Linked DNA regions of Arabidopsis thaliana. The protein of the gene in region 2 binds, or shares a complex with, the protein of the main gene of each other region. Each region holds a gene or a part of one and is shown on either strand. Other genes may lie near its edges.

What was found.
Region 1: MED8 (region 2) and MED31 share a complex: the UniProt entries of both Arabidopsis thaliana proteins name them as parts of the mediator complex.
Region 3: MED8 (region 2) and SWP share a complex: the UniProt entries of both Arabidopsis thaliana proteins name them as parts of the mediator complex.
Region 4: MED8 (region 2) and AT2G10440 share a complex: the UniProt entries of both Arabidopsis thaliana proteins name them as parts of the mediator complex.

What each region holds. Positions count from the first base shown.
Region 1 is NC_003076.8:6,730,092-6,735,172, reverse strand, and holds MED31 (SOH1 family protein), read left to right. Parts: upstream 1-2,182; 5' UTR 2,183-2,351; coding exon 2,352-2,401; intron 2,402-2,480; coding exon 2,481-2,578; intron 2,579-2,702; coding exon 2,703-2,799; intron 2,800-2,893; coding exon 2,894-2,972; intron 2,973-3,037; coding exon 3,038-3,127; intron 3,128-3,305; coding exon 3,306-3,559; intron 3,560-3,676; coding exon 3,677-3,689; 3' UTR 3,690-3,937; downstream 3,938-5,081. Other genes in the region: AT5G19920 (Transducin/WD40 repeat-like superfamily protein), read left to right, coding at 332-497, 779-1,149, 1,233-1,551. UniProt on the Arabidopsis thaliana protein: Component of the Mediator complex, a coactivator involved in the regulated transcription of nearly all RNA polymerase II-dependent genes.
Region 2 is NC_003071.7:903,307-910,656, reverse strand, and holds MED8 (mediator subunit 8), read right to left. Parts: upstream 5,145-7,350; 5' UTR 4,833-5,144; intron 4,707-4,832; 5' UTR 4,680-4,706; coding exon 4,501-4,679; intron 4,411-4,500; coding exon 4,286-4,410; intron 4,192-4,285; coding exon 4,067-4,191; intron 3,999-4,066; coding exon 3,815-3,998; intron 3,710-3,814; coding exon 3,626-3,709; intron 3,505-3,625; coding exon 3,449-3,504; intron 3,359-3,448; coding exon 3,089-3,358; intron 3,001-3,088; coding exon 2,944-3,000; intron 2,627-2,943; coding exon 2,420-2,626; intron 2,333-2,419; coding exon 2,282-2,332; intron 2,185-2,281; coding exon 2,121-2,184; intron 2,038-2,120; coding exon 1,865-2,037; 3' UTR 1,385-1,864; downstream 1-1,384. Other genes in the region: AGL30 (AGAMOUS-like 30), read right to left, coding at 7,088-7,350. UniProt on the Arabidopsis thaliana protein: Component of the Mediator complex, a coactivator involved in the regulated transcription of nearly all RNA polymerase II-dependent genes.
Region 3 is NC_003074.8:1,291,666-1,300,612, forward strand, and holds the start of SWP (RNA polymerase II transcription mediator), read left to right. Parts: upstream 1-2,132; 5' UTR 2,133-2,371; coding exon 2,372-2,581; intron 2,582-3,138; coding exon 3,139-4,164; intron 4,165-4,579; coding exon 4,580-4,677; intron 4,678-4,753; coding exon 4,754-4,928; intron 4,929-5,006; coding exon 5,007-5,763; intron 5,764-5,847; coding exon 5,848-6,863; intron 6,864-6,968; coding exon 6,969-7,996; intron 7,997-8,088; coding exon 8,089-8,890; 3' UTR 8,891-8,947. Other genes in the region: RALFL21 (RALF-like 21), read right to left, coding at 743-1,060. UniProt on the Arabidopsis thaliana protein: Component of the Mediator complex, a coactivator involved in the regulated transcription of nearly all RNA polymerase II-dependent genes.
Region 4 is NC_003071.7:4,012,958-4,020,818, reverse strand, and holds AT2G10440 (mediator of RNA polymerase II transcription subunit), read left to right. Parts: upstream 1-2,772; coding exon 2,773-2,894; intron 2,895-3,231; coding exon of another isoform or gene 3,232-3,258; intron 3,259-3,393; coding exon 3,394-3,496; intron 3,497-3,582; coding exon of another isoform or gene 3,583-3,649; intron 3,650-3,746; coding exon of another isoform or gene 3,747-3,805; coding exon 3,806-3,918; intron 3,919-4,008; coding exon 4,009-4,133; intron 4,134-4,176; coding exon 4,177-4,569; intron 4,570-4,611; coding exon 4,612-4,706; intron 4,707-4,798; coding exon 4,799-4,873; intron 4,874-4,997; coding exon 4,998-5,969; intron 5,970-6,056; coding exon 6,057-6,371; intron 6,372-6,448; coding exon 6,449-6,613; intron 6,614-6,655; coding exon 6,656-6,774; intron 6,775-6,856; coding exon 6,857-7,067; downstream 7,068-7,861. Other genes in the region: AT2G10450 (14-3-3 family protein), read right to left, coding at 46-141, 221-313, 455-514. UniProt on the Arabidopsis thaliana protein: Component of the Mediator complex, a coactivator involved in the regulated transcription of nearly all RNA polymerase II-dependent genes.

The DNA.
Region 1 (5,081 bases), on a different chromosome or scaffold from region 2:
TTCTTTCTGATTTCTTGGGGGTTTAAATGGTTTTAGGAGGGGTTATTGGATTATTCAACTTCAAATCCATATAGAATTCCTTGATTTTCATATGTATCAGAAATTTTAATTATGTATTTCTAGTTCCAGTTGACATCACCTTCATCCATCCACGTGATAAGTAGGCGAAATTTAGTTTCACTTATATTTGTCAACAAGCTGCAACGTTTAGTTGTACATGATCTTAAGAGATAGAGTTTTGTACAATTTTTTCTACTCTTATTTTCGTGAACATTTTAATCTGAATTTCGTTGGATACTAACCTATCCATCATGCTTTCACCATTGAGCAGGTCCACCGCTACTTTGTTTAAGACGGTTAATCGGGTAGCAGTAGATCAGAAGAAATGGGCAGAAGATATAGCTTGGCATCCACATAAGAATGCACTTTTCTCCGTGTATACTGCAGATGATGGTCACCCTCAGATATCAGCCATATATCTGAATGAAGCTGGAGAGGTAAAAGTATATGAATGCTGTAGCACATTCTAGCGTTTTACCATATTAAATTTGCGATTGGACATTCATGAGTGGAGTGTGTGCTTAAACTTGTAGAAAGTTAACTTGGTCTTCATAACCTGTTAGAAAGAAAAAAATCAATATAGCTGGAATAATTGGGAATTTGATTCGACCCTTGACTTATCTACTAGTTGTAAGATCTAACTTGATGGTTATAGTCTTTTATCCTTGGGGAAGTTAGTTATGTGCTCATTTCTTTTTGGATATCTGTTCATCTGCAGAGATGTGAGTCGCAATTTATGGAGGACAGGCCTCATAGCAAAGGTCTTATCAACAGAATCATGTTTACGCCTTGGGATGATCCTTGCTTCATCACAGGTGGGAGTGACCATGCAGTAGTGTTATGGCGGGATCAGTGTGAGAATAATGCGTGGAAGCCGACGCTTCTGCATAGGGACTTGCATTCGTCGGCTGTGATGGGAGTTACTGGAATGCGCCATAACAATCACGTCTTGTCATGTGGAGACGATAGGAGATTTGTTGGGTTTGATGCCCGAGAAGAAAAAGTCACATTTAAACATAGACTAGACAACAGATGCACAAATATAATGCCAAACCCGCGAGATGTTAATCTTGTCATGGTTAACACGAGGTAAAACTGACTCTTGATTTATATATATCCCAGAAGAAGCGATTGCCTTAAAGTCCGTTCTTTTGCTTGTGTTGTGTTTGCAGGCAGCTAGACCGGCAACTGCGGTTGTATGATGTTAGATTGCCTCAGACAGAACTATTTTCTTTTGGGTGGAAGCAAGAAAGCAGTGAATCGCAGTCGGCTCTAATTAATCAGTCTTGGTCTCCAGATGGTTTACACATCTCATCTGGTTCTGCAGACCCCGTGATCCACATCTTTGATATCCGATACAATGCACCGAGCCCGTCTCTCTCGATGAAAGCTCATAAGAAAAGAGTGTTCAAAGCCGAGTGGCACTCTTCTTATCCGCTGCTCGTCTCCATCTCATCAGATTTAGCAATTGGGATTCACAAGCTATGGTGAAAACTTGTAAAGCCATCACCTGAATTTGAAGGCCATTAACTTCTGAAACAGAACTTGTCTTGGCAAGTTGGCACAAGGTGTTGATTGGCAAGTAAGAACTGAGTACAGCACGCAGGCTGGATACGAAAACTGTCTTGGGAGTTGCATAGGTCAGTCCAGGGTCTGATGGCTCTTGTCTTTTGATTTTTTTTTTTAACTGTGGGAAACTCTAGCTTTTTAGCTGTCACATTTTGCGGGGATTACAACATTACAATGTACAGTATACATTTTTGAGGGCCAACTCATTGGAGCCAAATGTCCTCAGATTTTCTGTCTGCTATAATCCTCAACCATAGTTAGCATGACAAAGAGTTGCAACATCTATATCGATTGGTCACAAAAAAACTTTTGTATGATTGCATAAAGATTCCGGTCCATGTTTCAAAATTCAAGATTTGTCCTTGTGATTCATAATCTTGAGATAAGTAAGAAAGAGATTCATAACATGACTAAAAATGCCACCAAGTGAATCTTTGAATGTAAAGTAACTCCAAGTTTGGGCAGAGACTTCTCCATCTGCTACCGAGTATAACGGTTCTTTTAAGACCGCTTCTTGTGGAAAAAAAAAAAAAAAGACCGCTTCTTAAACCGTAATTTTGTACTAATTTTCCAATCTCTTTTTCTATTTGCATTCAGAACCGGTTTAGGCCTTTGGTTTATAACCAAAATTCAATTCAGAAATCAGAACCAAAATCCTCCGTCTACCTCCGTCTGATTCCTCTATTGGGAGAATCCAAATTTGCTTCAGGTTCCGTTCGTTCATGGCTTCGCCAGAGGAGATGGGTGATGATGCATCAGAAATTCCATCCCCGTGAGTGCATCTTCTTCCTCTTGTACACTTTCATATTCTTCAAATCTGCTCTTTTATTATCTAATTCGCATCTCTACAGGCCAAAAAACACTTACAAGGATCCCGACGGTGGAAGGCAACGATTCTTACTGGAACTTGAATTTATTCAATGTCTCGCCAATCCTACTTACATCCACTGTAAGTTTAGAATTCGTTCTATGGCTTAGGGTTTTAGTGTTCGAAATTGAGATTTAAAAAGGGATTTGTTCTAAGGCTTAGGGTTTGTACTTACCACATTCTGCTTTTGGTTACTGTTTGGCAGACCTGGCACAGAATCGGTATTTTGAAGATGAAGCATTTATTGGATACTTGAAGTATCTTCAATACTGGCAGCGACCAGAGTACATCAAGTTCATTATGTAAGTTGGAATATCTTATGGAATTGGTGTAGTCTTGTAGAGTCTTGTGAAGGTTTGGATAATATATCTTTGGTTTCCTATGTTCTTGTTACAGGTACCCACACTGCCTATATTTCCTTGAACTTCTTCAAAACCCCAACTTCAGGACTGCTATGGCTCATCCTGCAAACAAGGTACAAGAATACGATATGAATCATCAAGTGAAATCAGCATGTTAGTGAGCATTGTGAATAGGGAGTGGTTCAAAATGTTAGGGTACTGGTGTTTTTGGAATGTGTTTTGGGGACTTGTAGAGTTTAGGGTCTCTCTAGTACAAAACCTTGCTTACGTTCTGCTAGTTTGGTTCTGTGATTCTGCGTTTATGCCCATCTATTCATGAGATAGAGAAAGTTGTTTAATATTCTAAACTTTATGTCCTTTGTCAGAATTTCTTATAGGAAATCTATTGTTGTTGAAGTTTTCTTAAGTTTTGAACTTTGTCTTCGGTTGAATCTGGATTTTTCCAGGAATTGGCGCATAGACAACAGTTTTACTATTGGAAGAACTACAGAAACAACAGACTGAAGCACATTCTACCTCGGCCTCTTCCAGAGCCTGTACCTCCACAACCACCAGTTGCACCTTCAACTTCTTTGCCACCTGCACCATCTGCAACTGCTGCTCTCTCTCCAGCCCTTTCTCCAATGCAGTACAATAATATGCTTTCTAAGAATGACACTAGGAATATGGGTGCTACTGGAATTGATCGTAGGAAGAGAAAGTATGTGCTCCTTTCTTCTTCTTGATAATGATGACCATTTTGTGTGTGTTTTTAAGATGACTGCAAATGTGTTACGAAAAAAAGCAACACTCTAATATGTGAGTCATATAATGTCAGGAAGGGTATATAAGCATTTCCTGCCCTGAAGCATACACCATGGCGTCAGTCGTCAGATATGGTTTCCTCCATGTCCTAGGAGGGAAGCCTACTTGACTCAGGTTACAAAAATGTTGGAAACTCGGTATTACTCATTCCGTGTCATAGGCCGTTTATGGAAGTTGTCATATATGGTGTTCAATCTTTGTCTATGATATACAACAACCCCCAATCAGTATCAGTCTTTATCTTTGTTCCTATCGATCTTGACAATTGCAACACTTTATTTTTTTTGAGAAGCTTAGAAGCAATAGGAAAAATTATGGGAATGCCAAACATTTGTCCTTGGCAGAGATTGCTTCTGCCGGTAAAACATTAATTAGGAGTGGGGTTTCCATGTTGCACTTGTTGGTGGAAATTGTACGAAATGACTCTTTGACGTATCTTTGACAACAGTTAGAAGACCCAAACATGACAGAGTGTGCTATGGACCATGGTATACGAAACTTGATATGTGATGAAACTCGTATAACGTAACTCACGGTTCAAGAAAGGAGAAGAAAATAGCATAACTCAAGGATATGAATAAAAGAAGAACATGAACACTTATGGATTAGAAATGACTTTGATACCTTAAAATGTTGAGATTCTTCTCCATTGAATGATTAATTATAGGGAGGTTTGTTAATATAGTCCAAATTTTGGGGCTAATGTGTGATTGCAATCAAAACCAAATTTTGGAAATAGTCCACTTTTCTCTAAAATTATAATTAAAATACCATCATCAAGAGAAAAAAAGAGGCAAAAAACATAGTTACCTAAAGTAGAACGTCCAAATATGAATTTTGATATTAAAGTTAAATTAACTTTAGCAGAAAAAGGTTGAATAATATTTTGCCAAATTATCAAGTGATTAGGTTTATGATTTAAAATATTTCTAACTAATAATAATAATAATATCAAAGAAAACCGTAACCGACTCTACCCTTTAAATATAAACATAATCTCAGCCGTCGGTTTAAACGTGTCGCATCTCCATCGTTGATTAGGACTTGGCATCTTTTCGTCGCCTCTATTTAAAGAATCTCATCATCTCTTCTGCCGTTCGTACACAGAGGTTCTCTTTGCCTTTAATTTATTTTTCTTCTGCCCAAACCAAAAAAAAAAAGTTTCCAGATCCAAAATTACAACAAAGATTCTCAAACTCCTAAAACTTCATCTTAAAAACTTAACAAACAAAATTCTAATTACGAAAAATCCCAATCCTAGTGTTTCTCTTGTTGGCTTTTTTGTTTGATCTGTCTGTAATTTTTTTTTTGTTTGATCTGTGGTTTGTTTTGTAAAAATTCCACTCGTCAGCACTCAGATTAATCTCTTGTCCATTGATCTATCTATCGACTTGCTTCGACTTTTGATTTGAGATTTG
Region 2 (7,350 bases):
AAAAAAAAAATTATCTTGCAACGTTTTTAGTAAAAATAATAATAACACAATCAAATATATGGAAATCTTATAAAAATTTTTAGATAATAATAACACAAAGATTTAGATATATGGAATCTTATAAAAAGAAAAATTATCTTGCAACATTTTTAGTAAAAATAATAATAACACAATCAAATATATGGAAATCAAATATTTAATATGGAAAAGTCAATATCTAAAAGTGATAAGATATGTATAACGTTTTAATCAAAGGAGTTAAATAAGGGATATCATATCAATCATAAATGGATTTTAGACAATATAATATTTATAAAATGATATTGAATATAGATGCAACTATTCAAAACTGGAATGCTAAAACATTAATACATGTTTGCATCACCTACCACCGGGTTATGAATAGTTACAAAATTAGTTATATAATTATAAAATTGGTAATTTATATATTCATTATTGTAATAATAAATCACAAAAATTAACAATTAATAAGCATGATTATCTTCTTTAACGATTTTCTTTGTAGAATCATTGAATCATGCGATAGTAATTATAGAAACAAATGATAAGCATGATTCTCTTCTTTATTGAATCATTGAAAACATGCTTTTACCGATCTATACTATAATCATCGATCGGCTCATATTGTTTTGTTTCAATAATAGAAAATAAATACTATGAACCATGAGTCGATAAGTAAACATGGTTCTTAAAAAAATGTAAGAATCTCTATATCTACCTTTTAGAGCGTCCTGATAACGTGTTATAAACAGAGAAAGAGATAGAAGAAAATGAGTGTGTTATTCCATTGAGGTAAAGGGTTCTTTATATAGGATTACAAGGAAAGGGTAAAACCTTAGAAACATCTAGATGATGAGTTTAGATGATGGGCGTTATAATGAGCATCCATCTTTATTCATAACAAGTTGAGGTTTGTTTTGGGTTTTTTCCCTATAATAAAGCATTTATTTCATATAATATATAGTAAAATATTTATTTTATATAAAATTAATTTAAAGAAAATTATGCATTGAATATTTATATTAAAGAAAATAATATATCAAATCAAAGCCTTTGAGATGATGAGTTCAATTATATCTTTAAAACTTTTGAATACAAATATATGTTATAGTGAAAACGTTTATAACATATGCAAAATCGCACAAATAAATTATATTGTGTATTATTTTAAATTTTATAAATTTATTTTGCATTTTTTGAATGTGCACAATAAATTGTAAAAATAAGCGATTTTGAGTGATTTTTTCGCAAATTCCTAAAAACCAAAGTAAACTAGTTTTTCATATTTGTAACAAAAGCAAACAAAAAATTTAAAAGAAATGGTAACTAAATTTCAAAATTTGATTGAGGTAACTAAACGAGTCGTTGAGCTAAATAAGTACATAAAAAATGAGTATATAAAATTAAGTTGACAAGAAACAAAACAAATTGTCAGAAAATTTAATAGCTTTCGAGTCGCAGTTTTAAAGCTCTCTGTTTAAAGTTCAGAAAACAGGTAAACTTCATAGACACGTCGCTCTCTCGAGTCCCGTGTACAACAGAAACGCGTCTTCGTTTTGTCTCTATAACCCCATCAACGGCGTCGAGATGTTCACGTCGATGCCACGTGTCGAATTCTCAATAAACATGTCAGAACGAAAACAATCCTCCACCGTCCAATCTCTGCTTCACGTTTTTAACCTCATACAATGATACAAGTAAACAAAGTGTACTAGTGTAGTGTGAAAGTACCATACAACTAGAGAAATCTGGTGAGTGTATTAATGTTAAAGAATGGGCCAGGCCTTTGGTACTACAAAATACAGGCATCGGCCCATTACAAGCCCAAATTATTTAAAAGGGGTTATTGAGGATTTTGGTGCCTTTGTTGAGCATTCTGCATCATGTTATTAGGCTGTAGACTCTGCTGATTCGTCTGCATATTTCCATAGCCTCCTTGTTGTTGCTGCTGCTGCTGCTGTTGCGATTGCTGAATTTGTGTTTGCTGTGTTTGCATCATTCCGCTGGTGTTAAACACTGTAAAGATAGGACAAATGAAATAGTCAGGGAATCGATTTTGATGTAAGAAAACATGTTTTAGAAGAGATTTGTTTACTTACTCTGGTCACCCAACATTTGAGACGAATGGCTTCTTTGGGGATTGGTACCCGAAACTCCAAATTGCTGACAACCATAAAAATCCAAAGAGATCATCAGATTAAGACAATGTTCATCGTTCAGATTTGGGAAACATAATGAGTAGAGGAGTTTTTGAGCTAACCTGCATCCTAGGAACAAGTGTCTGAGATTGCATAGATGACATGTTTGGTATCTAGAATTAAAAGAAAAAGTACGTAGAAAATATGATTAGTAATTGTTTCGAATCATCAATTCAAGAGGTTAAAGAGAGGTGACTGACCATTTGGCTACTTGGGGAGCCTTGTGCAGAAGTAAACAATGCACTATTGGCTCCACCTGAAAACTGGTTTAAGTGACGGTTCATCGCTGGATTGAGCTGTCCTTGAGACATGCTATGCTGAATATGTCCACCTGAGAGCTGTCTAGCTTGGAATTGTTGGTGCGCGCCCATTGGCTGGGAATATGGCATTTGATGTTGCCCATGTGACTGAAAAATAAGATAAAACTCACACTTAAAAGACAAAAGCTTGTTTCATAATTTCATTTGATTCTACTGTTTGAAACTACGAACTGTCACAGTTACTTTTATATAAAAGCTTCTGCCAAGTCCCAAGATCTAGGATAACTTTTCAAGAGTATGAATCATTCACTTGGTATATGTAAACTTGTATAAATACGTCTAGTCATCTTCATTTATGGCCATAACTACTGCATAATGATACAAATAATTGACCAAGGTAGTGTCTGATCCTTTTCACTTCACACATCTATCCCCTAACTATGTTGTAGTTCTATTTATCTTACCGTCTGAAACTTTTGCTGAGCTTGCCCATGCATATCATGAAGTGCTGGTATCTGACTCTACACAAAGAATTAGCATGTTGCTCAATAAAGCAGTATGGTAGGAAAAAACAGTCAATTGCTACGTCTGCAAAATGTCAAAGCCTACTTGACCCAATCCCTGCATAGAAGATTGCCTGAGCTGTTGTTGTTGTTGTGCAAGTAGTTGCTGCTGCTGATGTTGAGGCAACTGCATTAATTTTGACCTTTGCTGCTGCTGTTGAAACTGTTGTTGCTGGATTTGATGCTGAGGCGAAGGCACATTAACCATACCCGTAGCGCGAGGAGAATTGGAATATGGTAAGGGAGATGTTGTGTTATCAAAATTAGGACCAGATGGAGATGCAGCTGATCTTCCCACAAATTGAGTCCCGGAAACCTAAAAACACACAAAGACATGAACCTCGAAAGACAATGATACTAACAAAAGTAATAATCATCACAACTAGAGAGAATAAACTAGTTTAACCTGCATCATTCCTTGATTGTTAATGTTGTTTGATTGCCCAGGTAATGCAATCTTACCTAATGAAAGAGAATTTTTGGAGCCATTAACAACGTGAGAATACCATTGGTAGTAGTAACAAAATAAAGAAGATTCAAGCATTGGGTTTACTTCTACCAGACAGATCAATGAAATCGTTACCTGCATCATTGATAATTAGCACATCTGCCAGATGTGGTGGAAGTGCAGTGGTTATCTGTCTCTGGTCTGGAGGCAGTTGTGTTCCTAGAAACAACCATTGTAAAAGAACATGAGAAGGAATTCAGCAAAACAGAAAACTGCAGTTTCGTACACTATCAAATGACTCAATAAATTCTAAAACCCTCTTACCTTTACCGTCATTTACAGCATCTCGTAGCATTTTCTCCTGCTCCTGAATCTTTGCAGCTTGACCTTTATCCATAGTAGGAAGCATAGACGGGCCTTGACGAGTGCCAAATCCGTAAGCTTTACGAGTATCAGCTAATACTCTTTCTGCATTTTCACAAGCTGCTGCAATCATATCCATCCTCGCCTGTAATAACAGATACCATTTCAAAAACCAGCAAACAAATCACAACAAAAATACATTACAAAACTAACCTTAAGCCTTTCGATTTGCATTGGTATAGGCAAACTCTGAACACCTTGAAGCAACTGCTCTCTCTTGGCATTGTCATCAGTTTCCATCTCCGGTAGTAATTTCGAAGACAACATAACCGGTAAAACTGCAGATTCACTGATAAATGCTAAGCTAAACCAGTTCATCACATTCACAATTCATTTAACTCATCAACTAAAACAACTAAAAAAAGACCATACTTGCAGCGTTCATAGCATTGACGTTCTTAGGAAGCACAACAAACGCATTTGAAACTCTCTTTACTTCTTCCACAATGTTAAAAAGCTCGAGATTTACCATCGAATACTGCCCTAGAATATCCTGCCTGTTCAAAACAAAAAGAAAATCAATCCTTGTTACAAAAAATTCATAAACATCAAAATATTATCAAATTCTGGATTCGATGATGATGAACCATTTAGGAGTAGTGTTGGTTCGACCATAAGCGTCGAAATCTTCAAGGATTCGAGCAATGGCTTTGGCCAAGCTAACGGCTCGTGTCTTCAACGACTCCAGATTCAGTTCCTTCTCCAGTTTTGGATTCAGCTTCTCAGCTACCGGAGGAGGAGGTGGTTGCTGCGGCTGTGTCTCCATTGATAACACAGAGCTAATACACAAACCCTAATTCCAAATTTAACGTAATTAGGGGTTTTTAACATCACAGCGAATTGAACAAATTAATTAGGTTTCCGATTTGAAATTGACACAAAAGTTTCGATTAGAAACACACACAAAAGAGAAACTTACGAATTAGAAAACGAGGAATGCGCAAAATCTCGAAGAAGGCTTTGATTTGGAGAAGTTAGTTATTGGAGAAGACGAGAGAGTGTGTTTGAGAAATAGAACCGGGAAATATAATAACATACCGAATCCATAACATATATATGTGTTTCCTCTTTGAAAACTTACAAGGTTGCAACAAATAGACAGAGCGGATAAATCCGTTTGCAGACTAGACCAATATGTCGCTAAGACGGACAAATCTGTTTGCGGAGTAGACCATTATATTTCTAAGACGGACAATAATCCGTTACGGACCAAGTTTTGTTTTTTTGCTTTCAAATAAACTATTTGTTGGTCCGTAATAGAGTTTTGCGTGATTTGTAGATATAACACTTTTTTACTAAATAATTAACCAACTAACACCATAAATTTGTAAATGTAGTAAATAACCTTCAAGGAGAGTAAAAAGACATCACTGTCCTGGTGTTACGCTTCGTCAGCGAAGAAGGAGAATGATTAGTGTGAGCTGACGTGACTTTATTATTGGTGTTGAGGTGAGAAGAGAAATAGGTGGTAGGAGAGAAATTCTCTTTTCTCTTTCTTTTTTCTTTACTCCTTTTCAATTGTAACTCATATTATCTGATCTTAAAAAATTTAATTCAAGTTCATGATATATCTATTAAAAAGTTGTATAGTTTTCTACAAATATCATGACTTAAATTTTTGAAAATAGACACAAAATAATTTAGATGTGAATAGTGTTGTCAATGAATAACATAACGTTCTATATAAATTGACAATATTTTTTGATGGAAGTATACTAAACCCTAAAGGGATAATATATAGGGAACCCAAGGGTTTAAATCTAAAACATTAATGAAATCACTTAACATCTTTAATCAAAACAAACAATTCATTTTAAAACGTATATAGAACAAGGTATACGTAAATAGTATACTATTTACAAAATAGAATAGTATCTCTCAAAATGCAACAACGGAACTCAATTTCATCACCAATACACCAAGCGCAACAACGGAACCCTATTTCATCATCAAGTGCAACAACGAAAGTCAATTCCCTGAACCTAACTTGTGTTCCTCGCTCTGTAATTCGAAACCCCCAAATCAAATATCACCCTAAAGTAATTAAGAGACTCTAATTTGAAATAAAAAACAAGTAACGAGGTAGGTGTAGGAACTTTATTGGGAGGAGAAAGAGAGAGGGGGAGAAAAAAAGAAAGAGAGAGAAAGAGAGAGAGAGAAAAAGATAGAGGGGAGAGAGAAGGGAAGAGAGAGGTAGACGGAAAGAGATAGAGGGGGTAAACTTGGAATTAATATATAAAATATAGAGGATATCATTGCTTTTTTTTTTATGCTAGTTTCTTAATTATATTTTTTTTTGGTTAGTTTTCCAATTCCCCTAGAGTTTTTATATTTTTTCCTATTTACTAAACTGCGGACCAAAATTATGAATAGTGAATAAAAAACGGTCTTTGTACGCAAGTTAGTCCGTCCCATTGTAAACCCACTCAAGGAAATGGTTCTTACAAAGTAAAACTATTTAAGAAGATATTAGTAACTTGTGTGAAAGATACTGTTGGCTTTGTTGATGGTTCTTGGTGATTCAAAATCCTAGAAGAATCATCCAATGTAGTCTCTCTAACCCATAAACATAAGCTTCCTTAGTTCATCCTACATAACTTGTAAACTTTTGTATAAATCACTTAATAAACAAGAGTACTTTGAAGACAAAAACAAAAACAAAAATGTAGTAAACATTGTTTTGTTTGTTTGTTTTACATTGAAAGAATGAAAAAGAATAGATACAGAGGCTAGAGTTTGTGGGAAGGGAAGGAAGAGAGAGTTTCTCATCTTTTGGCTGTCATGGCGTTACTTTGACAGCCCTCCAAAGACACTACTAACTTTTATCGCCGGAGAAATATGGAAAACCTCAAAAAATCTCATCTGACTGAGAAATTATGTATAGAAAAGAATTAAGTGACATCTATTGAAGATATAGAAAAAATAAATGAACACGTATTGTGTGTGGTTTGGTTGCACAATCTACCAGGGATTACCACTGGTTTTTTTCTTCTTGGAACCAATTCAGAAATCGGCAGAGTTTTAGCTTTCTTGCTGTTTCTGAAAAAAAATATTGGTTTGAGTTTCTTCAGTGAGATGTTTTATCATCATTCATCAAATCTCTCTCAGTTCGGCTGCTGCATCTATAAGAAAGAAGAACAAATTGTCAAATCAGTCTACAAAACAAAAACCCATTTAGAATCTCTGAGAAAGTTTTGTTTTGGTTACCTGGGAAAACAAGTATTCGTCGAACATTGAGATTGAGCAAGGCAAGGAGCTGCTGCTAGAACCAAACCTGGTTTGGTTGGTGTTGTCGTTGTAAGCAGAAGAATCAGGTGGTGGTGCTTCAAAGAATCCATTCATATGATACTCTCTCTGATTCATTGGAATATACACCTGAGCATGCGGAAGAGTAAGAGGAAGAGGAGGAGGAGGCAACGTTTGGTGATGATTCATAT
Region 3 (8,947 bases), on a different chromosome or scaffold from region 2:
CTCAACAGTAAATGGTCAACCATATGTGGTATGGGCGGCGGTACATGTCATGCCCATTTCGTCGACCCTAAAATATGGTAATGTAGTATTTTTTCACAAAGGAGCATAATAATAATAGCGTTGATAAATAAATGGCTCCATGCAAATTATATATAATAAAATTATAACAGCATAATGATCATCAACATCATTTATTGCTAAACATCATCATGTTCATGCCCCCATGCATGATTACGATGGAAGAATCTGACATAAAAAATTGAAGGTCCAAATTGACAACGACTTCATCTTAATCTTATAATCTACATGTCAAGAATTTTATATAAATAAAATTGATTAAATTTATATAGGTGAAAAATTTCATATAAACGTGAGGAGGAGGAGGAGAATGAGATAAAAGGGTCCACCTGGGCCCAAAAACACCAACCCTGTTGAGAGATGTTAGGACCCTCGTGTGGGCTGGGCCCAGTCAAAAATCATTGTCTTGTTGTGTATAACAAACATTACAGGTTCACACGTGTGACACACTAGGTCCTTAAATGCTATGAATATATGTGATCTGATTTGTTTTATTTTACCATTAATAAGAAGGAGCTTAAATCGAACAAAACTGAATGATAAAACAAGATTTCACCACTGTATATATCGTAATACAATAATACATGCTGAAAAATATTAAGGTAAATGTGTAGATGTAGAGAACAACATGGCTTAAACACAACCAAACCCATAAATTTATTATTCATGGATATTGGATATATGCATTATATGCATTATTATAAATTAATTGACCTCGTATTAACATTTTTCTAGAAATTGGTGCAGGGGGTGAATCGCGTCTACATCTATGTATTTTACTACATCCCCGTCTGTAAGGATTCACTGGTTGTTCGGAGGGTGCACATGCAGAAGGATACCGATGATGATCACAAGGAAGATCAGGCTTCAACCCTGGATACCCAATTACTTTTCCAACCGTCATGTTCATGCTGCTTATGAACACACATGCTATGAATGTTGCCACTAGCATAAACCTATTTGTTATTTTCATATTGCTCATGATTTGTGTTTATTTATGTGTGTGGGAGAAATATATATTTGTTGGTAAGAATGGTACAGTTCGTGGTATTTATAGTGAATAAATAATTGTGAAAGAGTCTTATACAACTTTTACTTAAAAGGAAATTACAATAGGATGTTGAATTGACCGGTAGAAAATGTACCTACAGAATTCTTTAGTAATACATGTATTATAGATATAGTCCTTTTTTAGCCAAAGTAGTCAAACTAGCTTTTAGATATGCATGTTGTGGTCATAGTAATACTAATACAAAACAGTTTTATAGCCAAAGTAGTCAACAATATTTGAGTTCTATGTACTCTTTTTTTTTTGGTCAAAGAGTTCTATGTACTCTAATATAGTATATCAATATATTAGGTTTCATGTTCTTCCAGTACATGGAGGTGAAAACAAAGCACTTTTTTCTTACAGAAATTTTTTTACATCAATAATATGCAAATATCATAAACTAATAATAATTATAAATACACCAAAATAGTGTGTCAAAATTGGTTGTAGACAACTATTAGAATGAACACATCGCTGGGCTTTTTGGTATTGGGTTCAAAGTATATATAAAAATTCATGCTGGTTCTTTATTTGCCGCCCAACATAAATTAGTTGGACAAGTGAGAAGGCCTTGCTACTCCTACATGCGTTACACTATTACAGTATTACTATTGCTTCATAGAAAAATAAACCTCGTACCAAAATCTCAAATAAGTGTTTCTTGTGGTTCCTTATGAAAAATTGTTATACACTATTACAGTATTACTATTCACCGTTTATTGTCGGAACTCGGAACAACGTTTTCACCGTCCAATTGTTATACACACTATTCACCATATATACATTAATACATCACACATCTTCTACTTAAGAGTGTAGTGTACATTAATGATAATTTTGTAATTAACCTTTTTAATGATGGTTAAAATGTCTAATTAATAATTTAATAGTGACTTACTTGCTTACGTGGATAAAAGAGAGACCCCACACAAAAATTAGATTTTGCCGTCTGTTAAAAAAAAAGGCTTCTTCAGCCGATTTCTCCAAAAATCGTTTTTTTTTTTTTTTTTTTCATCTTCCGTTCAACGTTTTGCGTTCGACTCTTCCCTGACCCCTTTCAATTTTAAACCCTTTTTCTCTGTCTCTCTTGTCCGAATCAAATCCGGTTGCTGGAAAAGGGAAGCTTTGTGCTTTTGTCGTCGTGGTGGGGGAAGCGGAGGATAAGAACCCTAATTTTTTACGAATCGTGAGATCTCCTAAGTTTCTGAATCGGGTGGTGGCGATTTTGTTTCTTTCTCCGCGATGGCGGAATTAGGGCAACAGACGGTGGATTTCTCTGCTCTTGTTGGTCGAGCCGCAGAGGAATCGTTCCTTTCTTTTAAGGAACTTGTGGATAAGTCTAAGTCGACGGAGCTTTCTGATACTGAGAAGAAGGTTAGCCTCCTTAAGTATGTCGCTAAGACTCAGCAACGGATGCTCCGCCTCAATGCCCTCGCCAAGTGGTGTAAACAGGTTTGTCTTTCTCTGTTTCTCGCTAAGTATTAACGTTTTGGGTCTGTGGGTCGAAGTGAAAGTTTGAAGCTTTCTTGGACTGGAATTGGATATGTTGCAAGATTAGGGTTTGGTTTTGTTGATTGCATGATCTATTAGTTTTAAACACATTTCCCGTGGATATAGTTTTGATGTTTGTAGGATGATTTACAGACTTTGAATGGAATTGGAAGATCCTTTTGTGTGATCTTGTCCTTGATGGGTTTTTGTTGTTTGGATTACGTTGCTTGTCTACTAAAGTTTAGATTTGTCTCTTAAATTCCATGGAACTTCACATTCCAAGTAGGCTTATCAATGTTATCATGTACTTCTGTTATTTCTGCATATTTTAAGAAATTTATGACTGTAGTGTCTCTGTAAAAATTCAAGGTAGTTTACTTCAGATCAACGTTCCATTTTAAAAAATTATGATTTCATAGATTGTTGATGCTTGCTTGTGTTCACTTTCTTTACAGAGTAAGTATTCGAAAATTTATTGAGCTATTTATTCATTTTTGGCTAAACCTCCTGGGCTGCAGGTTCCTCTTATAAACTACTTTCAAGACCTTGGGAGTACATTATCAGCTCATGACATATGCTTCACACAAGCTGCGGATTCGCTGTTTTTTATGCATGAAGGTCTACAGCAAGCTCGCGCTCCTGTCTATGACGTTCCCTCTGCTGTTGAGATTTTGCTGACAGGTTCTTATCAGCGCCTGCCAAAGTGTCTAGATGATGTGGGCATGCAGAGCTCTTTGGATGAGCATCAACAGAAACCAGCTCTAAGAAAGCTGGAGGTACTTGTACGTTCCAAACTGCTTGAAATCACACTTCCAAAAGAAATAACAGAGGTGAAAATTTCTAAAGGTACAGTTACCTTATCTGTCGATGGGGAATTTAAAGTTCTTGTTACTCTTGGTTACCGAGGGCACCTATCCATGTGGCGGATATTGCATTTGGATCTACTTGTTGGTGAAAGAAGTGGCCCCATTAAACTTGAAGTGACAAGACGGCATATCCTTGGAGATGATTTAGAGCGTCGAATGTCCGTGGCAGAAAATCCATTCACAATTTTATATGCGGTGCTCCATGAGCTGTGCGTTGCCATTGTCATGGACACAGTCATAAGACAGGTCCGAGCTCTTCTGCAGGGGAGATGGAAAGATGCAATTCGCTTCGACTTAATTTCAGATACTGGTACCACACCAGCGAACCAAGAAGGAGAGGCAGATTCTGTTAGTCTTCGAACGCCAGGAATGAAACTTTTTTACTGGTCAGATTCTGATAAAAATTCTGGCCCATTTATTAAAATTGAACCAGGGTCAGATCTCCAGATTAAATGTTCTCACAGCACATTTGTAATTGACCCACTTACTGGCAAGGAAGCTGAGTTTTCTCTCGACCAGAGCTGCATTGACGTGGAGAAGCTTCTGCTTAAAGCTATATGCTGTAATAGATATACCCGTCTTCTTGAAATTCAGAAAGAGCTTTTGAGGAATACTCGTATTTGTCGAACTCCAAGTGATGTGATCCTTCAAGCCCTCCTGGATGAGCCTGGTATTGAGGTAAAGAAAGAGTTGTTTTCGGCTTAATGTTGAATATTTTGTTCCTTGAAAGTTGTAGGACTTTTTCCCAGGTCAGAGCTACTTACACTAGTTGGACATTTAGTATGTCACTTGCATGTCAATAGATAGATTTCTGTTTATGACACATAGCCCTTGCTAAATAATGCATAGCTTTCATGCTATAGACCATGAGATTAAGCATTAATAATCGCAAATTTAAATTTCAGAGATGGCCGAACCTAGGTTTCGATAATTTATATTTTTTCGAAAAAGTAGTTTAATTTTTGCAGTTCACATGGCCTATTGCCTAGCTTCTTTTGGCTGGGGAGCTAGTATAGTTAGGCCATATTTCTCTTGCTGTCTCAACAACTAATTGAATTTAATTGGATCATTTTCTCTTTCGCCATTCTTTTAGGGAGATAACATGGTAGACTCTAAAGAGCGAGTAGAGCCAGAGGTCTTACGAGTGCGAGCCTATGGATCTTCATTTTTCACACTGGGGATAAATATAAGGTATGATATCTTCATCTATGTATTGGGAGAGATCTTATTTTAGCTGACTATTCTCACTATATGTTATTGATTGCAGGACTGGTCGGTTTCTTCTACAGTCATCCAAGAGTATCTTGACCTCCTCCATCTTGGAGGAATTTGAAGATGCGTTAAACCAAGGAAGTATATCTGCAGTTGATGCCTTTATCAACTTGAGAAGCAAAAGTATTTTGCATTTTTTTGCTGCTATTGGCAAATTTTTGGGTCTTGAGGTAGTAATTGTTTGCCTCAGCTTGTTGTTCAAATTCACTCTCTGGAGTTGGGAGTGTTGACGTTTGCGTTTAATGCAGGTCTATGAACATGGTTTTGGTATAAACAAAGTTCCTAAAAGCCTCTTGGATGGGTCAAGCATTCTGACTTTGGGATTCCCTGACTGTGAAAGCTCTCACCTTTTGCTAATGGAGCTCGAAAAGGACTTCACACCATTGTTTAAATTACTGGAAACTCAGATGGATGGTTCGGGAAAACCTCAGTCTTTCAATGATCCAAGCAATATTTTGCGAGCTAAGAAAATTGATATAGGGCAGATACGGATTCTCGAAGATGATCTTAACTTGATTACATCCGATGTGGTTAAATTTGTATCTTCATTCTCGGATGCTGAGGGCATAAATCAAGCATCTGGACACCGTCAGCCTGGATTGGTTGACGAGGCTTTGACAGAAATGAGTGGAAGCCAGTTGAGTTTCTCTAGTGTCGTAGATGGAGTGTTTGGACTTCAGAAAGTGACATCTGCTCTTATGTCAATTGATGGACATGGTTTAGTTCCCAAAAATCTCTCTGCTGTTACCGGCCATGGAAAAGCTCCAATGTTGACTAGCTATCATTCAGATTCCTTGTATAATCGACAGGGTCCCTTACAATCTAGCTCTTATAATATGTTATCATCTCCCCCTGGGAAGGGTTCAGCTATGAAGAAGATAGCCATCTCTAACTCTGACCAGGAGTTATCCCTGATACTGTCTCCATCCCTCTCTACTGGGAATGGAGTCTCTGAGTCAGGCTCTAGACTGGTCACTGAATCCTCATTGTCACCTCTTCCCCTATGTAAGAACATTTTTCCATAGCCTTTTTTTTTACCTTCATAGAACTTTCTCAATATTAGAATTCAAAAATTTCCGTTATTTGCAGCTCAAACAGCTGATCTTGCAACATCATCTGCTGGTCCTTTGTTAAGGAAAGATCAGAAGCCCCGGAAACGTTCAGCTTCAGATTTGCTAAGATTGATCCCATCCCTCCAGGTAGTGGAAGGTGTTGCTAGTCCCAATAAGAGAAGAAAAACCTCTGAACTGGTACAGAGTGAATTAGTGAAGAGTTGGAGCCCTGCATCACAGACCTTATCCACTGCCGTGTCAACATCAACAAAAACTATAGGATGCAGCTATGGGAATCTCATAGCTGAAGCAAACAAGGGGAATGCACCTTCAAGCGTTTTTGTTTATGCTCTTCTCCATGTGGTCAGGCATTCTTCGTTGTCCATAAAGCATGCCAAACTAACTAGTCAGATGGAGGCATTGGATATTCAATATGTTGAGGAAATGGGACTAAGAGATGCATTTTCAGATATATGGTTCAGGCTTCCATTTGCTCAAAATGATTCCTGGCAACATATATGCTTGCAGCTTGGTAGACCTGGAAGCATGTGTTGGGATGTGAAAATAAATGACCAACACTTTAGGGATCTCTGGGAACTTCAAAAGGGAAGTAAAACCACACCATGGGGTTCTGGAGTTCACATTGCGAATTCATCTGATGTTGATTCTCATATCCGTTATGACCCTGAAGGTGTTGTTCTGAGCTATCAGTCTGTGGAAGCCGATAGTATAAAGAAGCTTGTGGCCGACATACAAAGGCTTTCAAATGCTAGAATGTTCTCCCTTGGTATGCGGAAACTACTTGGCATAAAGCCAGATGAAAAAACAGAAGAGTGCAGTGCTAATTCCACTATGAAAGGATCTACTGGAGGAAAAGGCAGTGGTGAGCCAGTAGATAGGTGGAGAGCTTTCAAGATTGAGGCTGTGGGATTAACAAGCCTGTGGTTTAGCTTTGGTTCAGGCGTTTTGGCGCGTTTTGTTGTCGAGTGGGAATCAGGTAAAGATGGATGCACCATGCATGTCTCTCCTGACCAACTATGGCCACATACAAAGGTGAGTAGTTCGCAGGACTTAACATTTGCTCTCTTCATGGGAAATATTTTTATTATAAGAGTTCCAAATATATGCTTTTTCTCATCGTGAGTTACTCTTGTACAGTTCTTGGAGGATTTCATAAACGGAGCAGAGGTAGAATCCCTTTTGGATTGCATTCGCCTTACTGCTGGGCCTTTGCATGCATTAGCTGCCGCTACTCGCCCTGCCCGAGCTAGTACTGCCACTGGCATGCCTGTTGTACCTGCTACAGCGTCTTCAAGACAATCAAATCAGATACAACAAACTCAAGGAATCATTGCCCCTTCAACTTTAGCAGCTCCTAATGCTACTGGCCAGTCTGCCTCAGCAACTTCAGGAAATACTGTTGCTTCTTCTGCTCCAAGCCCACTTGGTGGAGGTTTCCATGGAGTTGCAATGCTAGCAGCTGCAGGGAGAAGCGGACCTGGCATCGTTCCAAGCTCTCTCTTGCCCATCGATGTCTCTGTAGTACTCCGTGGACCCTATTGGATAAGGATCATATACCGTAAACGTTTTGCAGTAGACATGAGATGTTTTGCTGGAGATCAAGTCTGGTTGCAGCCAGCAACTCCACCCAAGGGTGGTGCTTCTATTGGAGGCTCCTTGCCATGTCCCCAATTCAGACCTTTCATCATGGAGCATGTTGCTCAAGAATTGAACGGTTTAGAACCAAATTTGACAGGTAGCCAAGGAGCAACAAATCCCAACAGTGGAAACCCAACTGTTAACGGTGTGAACAGAGTTAACTTTTCCCCTTCTAGTGCAAGAGCTGCAATGAATCGAGTAGCCAGTGTTGCTTCAGGATCTTTAGTGGTTAGCTCAGGATTGCCTGTGCGTAGAACACCAGGCACTGCTGTACCAGCGCATGTAAGAGGTGAATTAAACACAGCGATAATCGGTTTAGGTGATGACGGTGGCTATGGCGGAGGATGGGTTCCTCTTGTGGCTCTTAAAAAGGTTTTGCGTGGTATCCTTAAATATCTTGGAGTACTGTGGCTATTTGCTCAGTTACCAGATCTCTTAAGAGAGATCTTGGGTTCCATCTTGAAGGATAACGAAGGCGCTCTCTTGAATTTAGACCAAGAACAACCAGCCTTACGCTTCTTTGTCGGGTAAGCCAAACCAAGAAACTTATGCTCAATCTTGAAGGATTATGCTTAAGCTTATCTATTGTTTTGTTTTTTTGTTGTTTTTGTTTTTGCAGTGGCTATGTGTTTGCGGTGAGTGTCCATAGAGTTCAGCTCCTTCTTCAAGTCCTTAGCGTAAGGCGATTCCATCACCAAGCACAACAAAATGGTTCTTCTGCTGCGGCTCAAGAGGAGTTAACCCAATCCGAGATTGGAGAAATCTGCGATTATTTCAGCCGCCGTGTCGCATCAGAACCGTATGATGCCTCAAGAGTTGCCTCTTTCATAACACTCCTCACGTTACCCATATCGGTCTTGAGAGAGTTTCTGAAACTGATAGCTTGGAAAAAAGGATTATCCCAATCACAACAAGCTGGAGAGATTGCTCCTGCACAGAGACCTCGAATCGAGCTATGTCTAGAGAACCATTCTGGTACAGATTTAGACAACAATTGTGCAGCTAAAAGCAATATCCATTACGACCGGCCGCACAACACGGTTGACTTTGCGCTAACCGTTGTTCTTGATCCTGTGCACATACCCCATATAAACGCGGCTGGAGGAGCAGCATGGTTGCCTTACTGTGTATCAGTTAGGTTAAGATACACATTTGGCGAAAATCCTAGCGTGACGTTTCTTGGAATGGAAGGAAGTCATGGAGGTCGAGCTTGTTGGCAGCGAGTGGACGATTGGGAGAAATGTAAACAGAGAGTGAGCCGTACAGTGGAAGTCAACGGTTCTGCTGCAGGAGATTTGACTCAGGGAAAACTCAAGTTGGTTGCAGATAGTGTCCAGAGAACATTGCATCTATGTCTTCAAGGTCTGAGAGAAGGTGGTAATAATAATAACAACACTCATCAAAAGGAATTTACCATATAGAGAGAGGTCAAACTCTTGTCAGTTTTGGGAATCGTAATGTGTACATACGTATTCTGC
Region 4 (7,861 bases), 3.1 Mb from region 2:
ATACATTTCCAATTATTATTAATCAAGAGAGTACTAGAATATGAATTAACTATGCTTTGGTTCCGACAAGACAGTGAAACAAGAATGACATTTGCACAAGACCTTTGGTTCTGCCTCCTTGATCTCATCTCCTGCTTCGTCCTATTGACCAAAGAGTTATAATCATGTCAATTACAGAACTTAGTGAACAATGATCAATGTATATTGTGTTGATGCTTACAGTCATATCTGAAGTCCAGAAAGTGAGATTGTCTCTAAGAATCTTCATAATCAGGGTACTGTCCTTGTATAATTCATCACCCAATGCATCCAACTCAGCGATAGCACATTGGCATTGTCCAACATACAAGAACAAAGATCTTGCAACGACAACATTTAGTTTAAGCAATTAATGAATAAAAGCAGCACAAAGAACATAATTACTAGTAACGTCTTCAGGTGACAAAATATGTACCATCATCAGAGCCTCCGGTTGCAGGCCGTAAACAATCCTAGTGGCAAAGTAACAACACATGGTTATGGGATCTCAGAAGCTTCTTTGATTCTCATAGCACCAATCACAAGGAGAGTCAAACCAACGACTCTTGTACCCCAAGTCCTTATAACTTCAGTGTGAAGCCTATTTCAATTTCAAGGTATAGAGCAGTGGATAATCTCAAGGTAAACTACACAGAAAAAACTACAATTCACATAGATAGTTCGAACAATTACTACAAACTTGATATTTACGATGTTTCAACAATTACTTGATCATGAAACCATAGACTACTAGTAATGAATCCAATGGTTCTTGAAACAACTGAAACCTATAAACATTGATGCTTCTTCAAAAACCACCAATCCAGTAACTTAAACCAAAAATAGTCGCAAACATCGATATAAACAATACACTGACGCTAATCCAGAAGATTCATAGTCGTGAATTACCTTAATACTCTGATTCAATCTTCGAGATGTATCCGGCGATGGATTCTGGCGGAAGAAGCATGAAAGGGAGCTGTCTCGGCGTGACTGGAGACGGCGAAAGGAGGTAAAGCTAAGACCCAATTTCTCATTAAGCCCATCTTCATTAAAAACAAGACCTAAACGTGAGAAGTGTGTACGTATGTATATAATGTCTTCTTCCTCTCGCCGCTTATGTTACGAGCACGCAATGTTAACCTTATCAAAATCATAGAAATTTGATCTCAACTCTCAAGTCACCATCATCCTCCACTATCGAGTTCACCATCGTTGTAGTTTGTGGTTGTGGTCCCGATCGTGTTAAGTGGTGACGTGAAGTTATCGTCACGTAACATCCAACCCTAATCATCACCATCTGAGCCACTATTAGCCTTCTTCGTCCTCCTTCTTCACCGGAATCTAGATCTATCATTGGTGCTTTGTTTGGGTCTGTGATACCGAATCCTCTACTTCTTCGTTGCAGAGTGAGATAACGGTGAAACCTTATTCTCGTATTCATGTTAAGGTGTTGTGTTGTTTAATTATTGAACCAACCTAAACCAAGGGATTACGTATAGTTACGGCCATGAATTGAAACTTGATTATTAAGGAACCTTTTGAGTTGATCGGTTATGGCGTCAGTTGGGTTGTGTTAGTGAAGAAGACGATATAGTCAGTTATTGGCTTATTAGAAAGCGTTGGGTTAATTGTCAAACCAGAAGTAGCATTGACATGTACGTGATTTGAATTGTGGCGTTGGTTTAATTATTAAACCGGGGAGTATTTGGTCACGTAAATGGATGTGGCGTAGTCAATTACGTGTTAAGCAACTAATATTAAATTATTAGACTTGGTTTAGTTATTAGATTAAATAACAAATTATTAAGGGAATATAATCTTGATTGATTAATCTAAATTGTTGTAGTTTGAGATCGTTGTTGAGCCGGATCCATTGTTGCTAGTCCTATTTCTTAAAATCCAACCGAGTTGCCAAGGTGAGGGTAGGATCTGTGGAAACATAGTATCACCTTTACTTTTGTATTTCTGAATTTCATTTGTATAAGATTAGACATTGGGTGCTGATTGTTAAAATGTTAGGATTATATATTAAATATTGTTGATTCAGTAATCAAACAATGAATTTGTACTAAGGGATTTAGACAAATTCACTCCTCTCTTAGCTCACAAATAATCAAAGGAAAAGAACTAGGTTGCTTAAACAAAAAGCTAGGGTTTGCTCTGTAATAGTAGTCTCTTGTATTAGGTTAAAGATGATCTCAATGGGGGGTTTGACCCCTCTATTTATACAATAGGTCGAATATACCAAAATATGATAAACTTCTAATTATCTTAGGTTTAAATCTTCATTACTTCTATTCTTCATGAGATCCTCTTCTCTTAAATGGAAGTTTTCCCTTTACACGACCTAAGAAGTTGGTTATGGCGATCTTGATTGTCGACTTAAGTCTTCGGGCGATCTCATGACTTAGGCCCATTAACAGGCTAACCGGGATACCCCGGTTCAATCGAATTCTCGATTTTATTCACATTATTCCTCGGTTTAAATTAGTATTGTCGGAGGTGCTAATTCCTGCACCAACAAATATTATAATACGTGTTGTGTGATATTATGCGATAGGTTGTTAGCGTGATATGCATATTGATTTTTGAATACTCTTTTGTCGTTTTCTTGTACTATATATTTATCTGTTTTGTGTTACCATGTTGAGTAATTTCTCTAATCATTCTTTTGTTTGTTTGTTAAGGTTTAGCGAGGCGGTTCTTGGTCAAAGCCTATACATACATCTCCCCGTTAGGACGCATAACTTAATGGAGGGAAATACTAACTGGAAGCCTAATGAACAAGGCGGAAACCGTGATGCTGCGAATAATCGTATTGATTGGAGATCACAACATGAGCCTGAATTACGGCAAAAGGTTCTTTCAAAAATGTAAGCCATTCTTTCAAGAGTTTCATGTTTCTTTTGTTGGACTCATTGTTCTTATTTGATTATTAACATTCATGAAAGAGAGTAAGGTTTTCTTGGTCATGCTTTCGATGTGATATTTGTAGTTTGCGCATGATAAAGATTGCAACAGTTAAAGCATAAGAGTTGTGCATAAATGTTTATCATAGTTGACAAAACCTAACTTCAACCTTTTGTACTTTAAGTTTTGCATATTCTTTTAACCTCATTACCTGCATTTAGGCTCTTCCTCACTAGGAGAATCTTGTTTTACTCTCGCTTCTATGTACAATTGCTTGGCACATATGTATAATTGTTTCAGTGTTTGTTCGCTAAACGATTATCGTAAGTTCGAATATTAACTACGGATTATTTTCTCTGTTTTGTATTTTTAGTGCAATTAAAATGGTATCACTTCCTCTTGAATATCAGTTATAACCAAATTCTTCATAGTCACTGATATTTTGTTCTCATGTATGTGTAGAGTTGAAAAGTTCAAGGAAAAGTTTCATGCACATGAAGAATATAAGATTAACGACATCGCTTCCAAATTTGAAGAAAATTTTTATAGCATAGCAACCGATAAGGTGTTAAACTACAAATTGTTTCTCCATCTATTAACTTCAGAATCTGAATTTGATATCTTACTCATTGTCCCCTTGCTATGTTTCAGAATGATTACCTTAGGAAACTCAGTGAAACACTGCATTATATACAGAGAACTTACACTAGAGTTCTAGGTAATAAGTTTTTGGTTTCATAATTATACTATTTTAGCTTAATAACAAAGAAATCACTAACTAACTTTTTTTTTCTATGTGTTTATCTAAACATCAGCTTCTCAAGTAGTTGTGAATCAAGCTCAATCTCTTCCCGCCTTGTTGCCATATATGCAGACTACAACGAGCCAACAATGGTTACAGCAAAACACACAGAGCAATCTCTGTGTCATCTGCTTTGCCAAGTCAGGTCCCTATAACCGTTCCCGGTTCTCAAAGACAGATACATGGTAGGCAACAACTTCTTCCTCAGCAGCAACAGCCTCAAATGAATCAAATCCGCCATGGTAATTTACGACCTTCGCACATGCAACAACAAGCTCGGTCACCGCAGCCGCAACATCATCCGCAAAGTTTGTTGAAACAACCTATTCAACAGCCTTTTCCTCAATCAAGCTAACAAAACACTCAATCACTGACCAGAAATCAGTTTTCGATACAACGGGTCAGTTTTAGTCATCAACAACAGATGGTTCTGCCGTCTCAAGAACAGAAACGACAAGAACAAGAGCAACTCATTAATCAACTGACGAATCTTCCAACATCACGACCAAACAATAGAGACCAACAAGGAGCTTTTCAGGTATCCTCGTCTCAGCAGAACAATAATGTTACCTTACATGCAATGTCTCAACAGAAGAATAACCTCCAAAGTATGACTAGAGGTCAACAAGTAGGACAATCTCAACCAATGATGTCACAACAATACCGACAACAATACCCCATGCAGCAGGATCCTCAGAACAGAAACTTACAGAAACATTTGGATTTTGTACAAAACAATACCAATCAATTTCAAGCAGCAAGTTCGTTGCGCCAAACACAAAACATAACAGATCAACAGAACCAGCCACAACAATTAGAGAGAGCAAATCCATCTAGTATGTTTCCTCTCTTACTAACTCTTGTGATAATGTTTTTAGTTCTAATAATGAATATCATTGTAGCATCTCAAGATTCTACGGGAAAGACGGTAAATGTCAATGCCGGAAACTGGCAGGAGGAGACCTATCAGAAGGTATCTTCACTTGCTTTGCTCTTCACTTCTTAACATCACAATTAGGGTTTGATTTTGTTTTCAATTGATTCCCATTCTGATATGTCCTGCAGATAAAAAAACTGAAAGAGATGTGTTTACCTGTTCTCAGTTTAATGCACCAAAGAGTTGCGGAAAAATTGCGGGAGGTACTTTATTTTATAACCTAATTGTTTTGCTTGTGGAACAAGAATTTGTTCTAATGGTTTTCTTAATCATTTTTTTTTCTAAAACTTTGTGTTGTTTTTGGTTTAATAAACCTAATGTTTCCAGACTGAATCTCTTCCGCCGCAACCGATGCAAGCTCAGTGGATTGAAAAGCTAAAGGCGGGAAAATTGTCAATGGAACACCTTATGTTTTTCTTAAATGTTCATAGGAGCAGTGTATCAGAGAAACATAGAGACAAGTTTAGTCAATATGAGTACCACATATTGAAATTTACCAAGAGTCAGACCATGGTTTTGAGGCCAACGCAGCAACAACAAGGACAATTTCCTCCTTCTCAAACAGCAATGCAAACCCAAAGTCCTCAAGTCCATGTGTCACAGTCTCTTTATAAGGAGCAAAGGAGATCACGGTTGATGCCAAGTAGCCAAAATGAGGCCTCGTCTTTGTTGCAAATAAGGCCTAAGTTGGATCCAAGAGACGAGAACATCATTATGGCTTCCTCAGGAAATGTCATGTTACCTTCTGTTAAACAAAATCCTCGGGCCGTAAACACAAATATCAGTTCGGTTCAGTCGTTGCAGAAGCAGAAGCGATTCCATCACCGACAAATGCAACAACAACAACCACAACAAGGGAATCATCAACATCAAATGCAGACAAATGAGATGAATGATGTGAGGATGAGGGAGAGGGTCAACATTAAAGCCAGGTTGCTTGAGCAACAAGTCTCATCGAGTCAGCGCCAGGTTCCAAAGCAAGAGTCTAACGTTTCATCCTCTCAGATACAGAACCACTCTTCTCCTCAGTTAGTTGACCAGCATATTCTTCCTGCGACGATTAACAAAACCGGAACCCCATTGAACTCTAGTGGTTCGGCTTTTGTTGCTCCAGCTCCATCTCCAGTTCCTGGAGATTCTGAAATGCCTATATCTGTTGAGTCTCCAGTTTCTGGTGTTGATGAAATAAACTCAACTTTAGATTCTTCTAGTAAACTTGGCACACAAGAAACTCCTCTGTTATTTGTTCCTCCGCCCGAGCCAATCACAGAGCGGCCTATTGATCGACTTATAAAAGCGGTAAGTAAACTCTATAGCTTATCTAAGTTTACTTTCTTTACCTTCTCCTATTTACTGACCTAATTTTTAATGTGTGTGGCTTTCTAGTTTCAAGCAGCATCACCAAAATCATTGGCAGAATCTGTAAGTGAGATTAGCTCGGTGATTAGTATGGTTGACATGATTGGAGGATCGTTCCCTTCTAGTGGAGGATCTAGAGCTGGTTTAGGCGAGGATTTGAGTGAGAGGACAAGAAACTTTACCACACACGAAGAAACAAATCTGTCTAAGAGAATGAAGCGATCAATCAACATTGTGCCGCCAGATATGTCATCACAAATTGATAGTTATGAACAGTTGAGTAGCCTTGAATCTGAAGTTGTTTCCACAACATCATCTGGCTTGAAAGTTAACAATATTGCGGTAAAATCTACTCTATTGGTATCGAACTACGAAAACAAATGAAACATCGAAATAAATCCATTTTTTCAATCTTGTAGCCTGGTTATGCCCTTTTGCAAGAAATCAAAGAAACAAATGGGAGACTTGTAGAGACAGTGGTAGAGATATGTGATGAAGATTCTTTAGGAACAATCGTCACTTGTACTTATGCTCCTGTGGCTCTCAGTGCCACATTCAAAGATCATTACAAGTCTGGAAAAATTGTAAGTTACTTCAAACTTCTTCTTTTTCCTCACTCTGCTCAGATTTTTTATGTCTCTAAATGTTTGATGCAGGCACAGATTCAACCTTTACGCTTACTATTTCCTATGGATTATCCGTATAGTTCTCCGATAGTTCTCGAGGAAATCTCCTTTGACACTAGGTATGAATCTTTCTTAGAAATCAAGTAACAACGATTGGAGTAAATATATATGATCTTAAGGATTTATATCTGCATGTTTCAGTGTACACAAGTATGAGGATCTATCCGCGAGAACCAGATCAAGGTTCAGTTTGTCCATGAAGGAATTTTCAGAACCAGGGTTTTCGAAAGGAATAGCTCAAACGTGGAATGATTGTGCGAGAGCGACAATGGTTGAGTACGCAGAGAGACATGGTGGAGGCACTTTCAGCTCCAAGTATGGTGCTTGGGAAACGGTTCTAAGAGCTTCATGAGGACTAATACTTCCTTTCTCACTCACCGTACAAGATAGTTTTTAGGTGGGAAGCCTTATAGCCCAAGTTAGGTTTTTTTTTATTTCCTTTGAGATAGAAGTAACATTTATTTGTATGGTGTGGCTCATGTCTTCTTATTGTATATATTTTAACAAGAAATTATAATTGTTTCAAAACCGATAGTATAATAAATTATCTTGAAATATTTAGGCACAAAGCCTTTTTTTTAAAAAAGATTTTAAAGTATTTTATTGTTTTTTCTTATTACATGTTTCATTTATAGAGCCCAAAAGGTTGGAATATAAGTTTTAAAAAAGGATTACAGAAAATGAAGCCAAGCCTATAAAACTAAATCATCCTTAGTAATTTAAACATCCACTCATAAAGATTTTGCTGATGAAACGTGTTGATGAAGTGTTTTGCCCTATGACACGGGCCGAGACGTCAAGCACCGCTGTTGAATTCGCGGGAAACCGCTAGAATTCACCAAAATGTTGAGAATCGTCTTTCCTTCTGTCGATCTCGAACCCATGTCCAAAAATCGTCGATATTCTTTCGGATCAAGTGATGGAAGTCGCTTAAAAATTCTTCAAGTATCATTATCGTCGGGGAAGCTCCACCTCTGACGACACCCATATTGATGTGGCCGGATCTTTGTTCATGTGTGTGCATAAAGAAGTGGTATAGATATTACTCGTCGAACTAATTGGTGGGAACATAGAGGATTTGTGAAGAAACCAAAGACATCAACAATCACCAATAGATGGAGATCTAAACTCGCAAGGCAAGAGAGA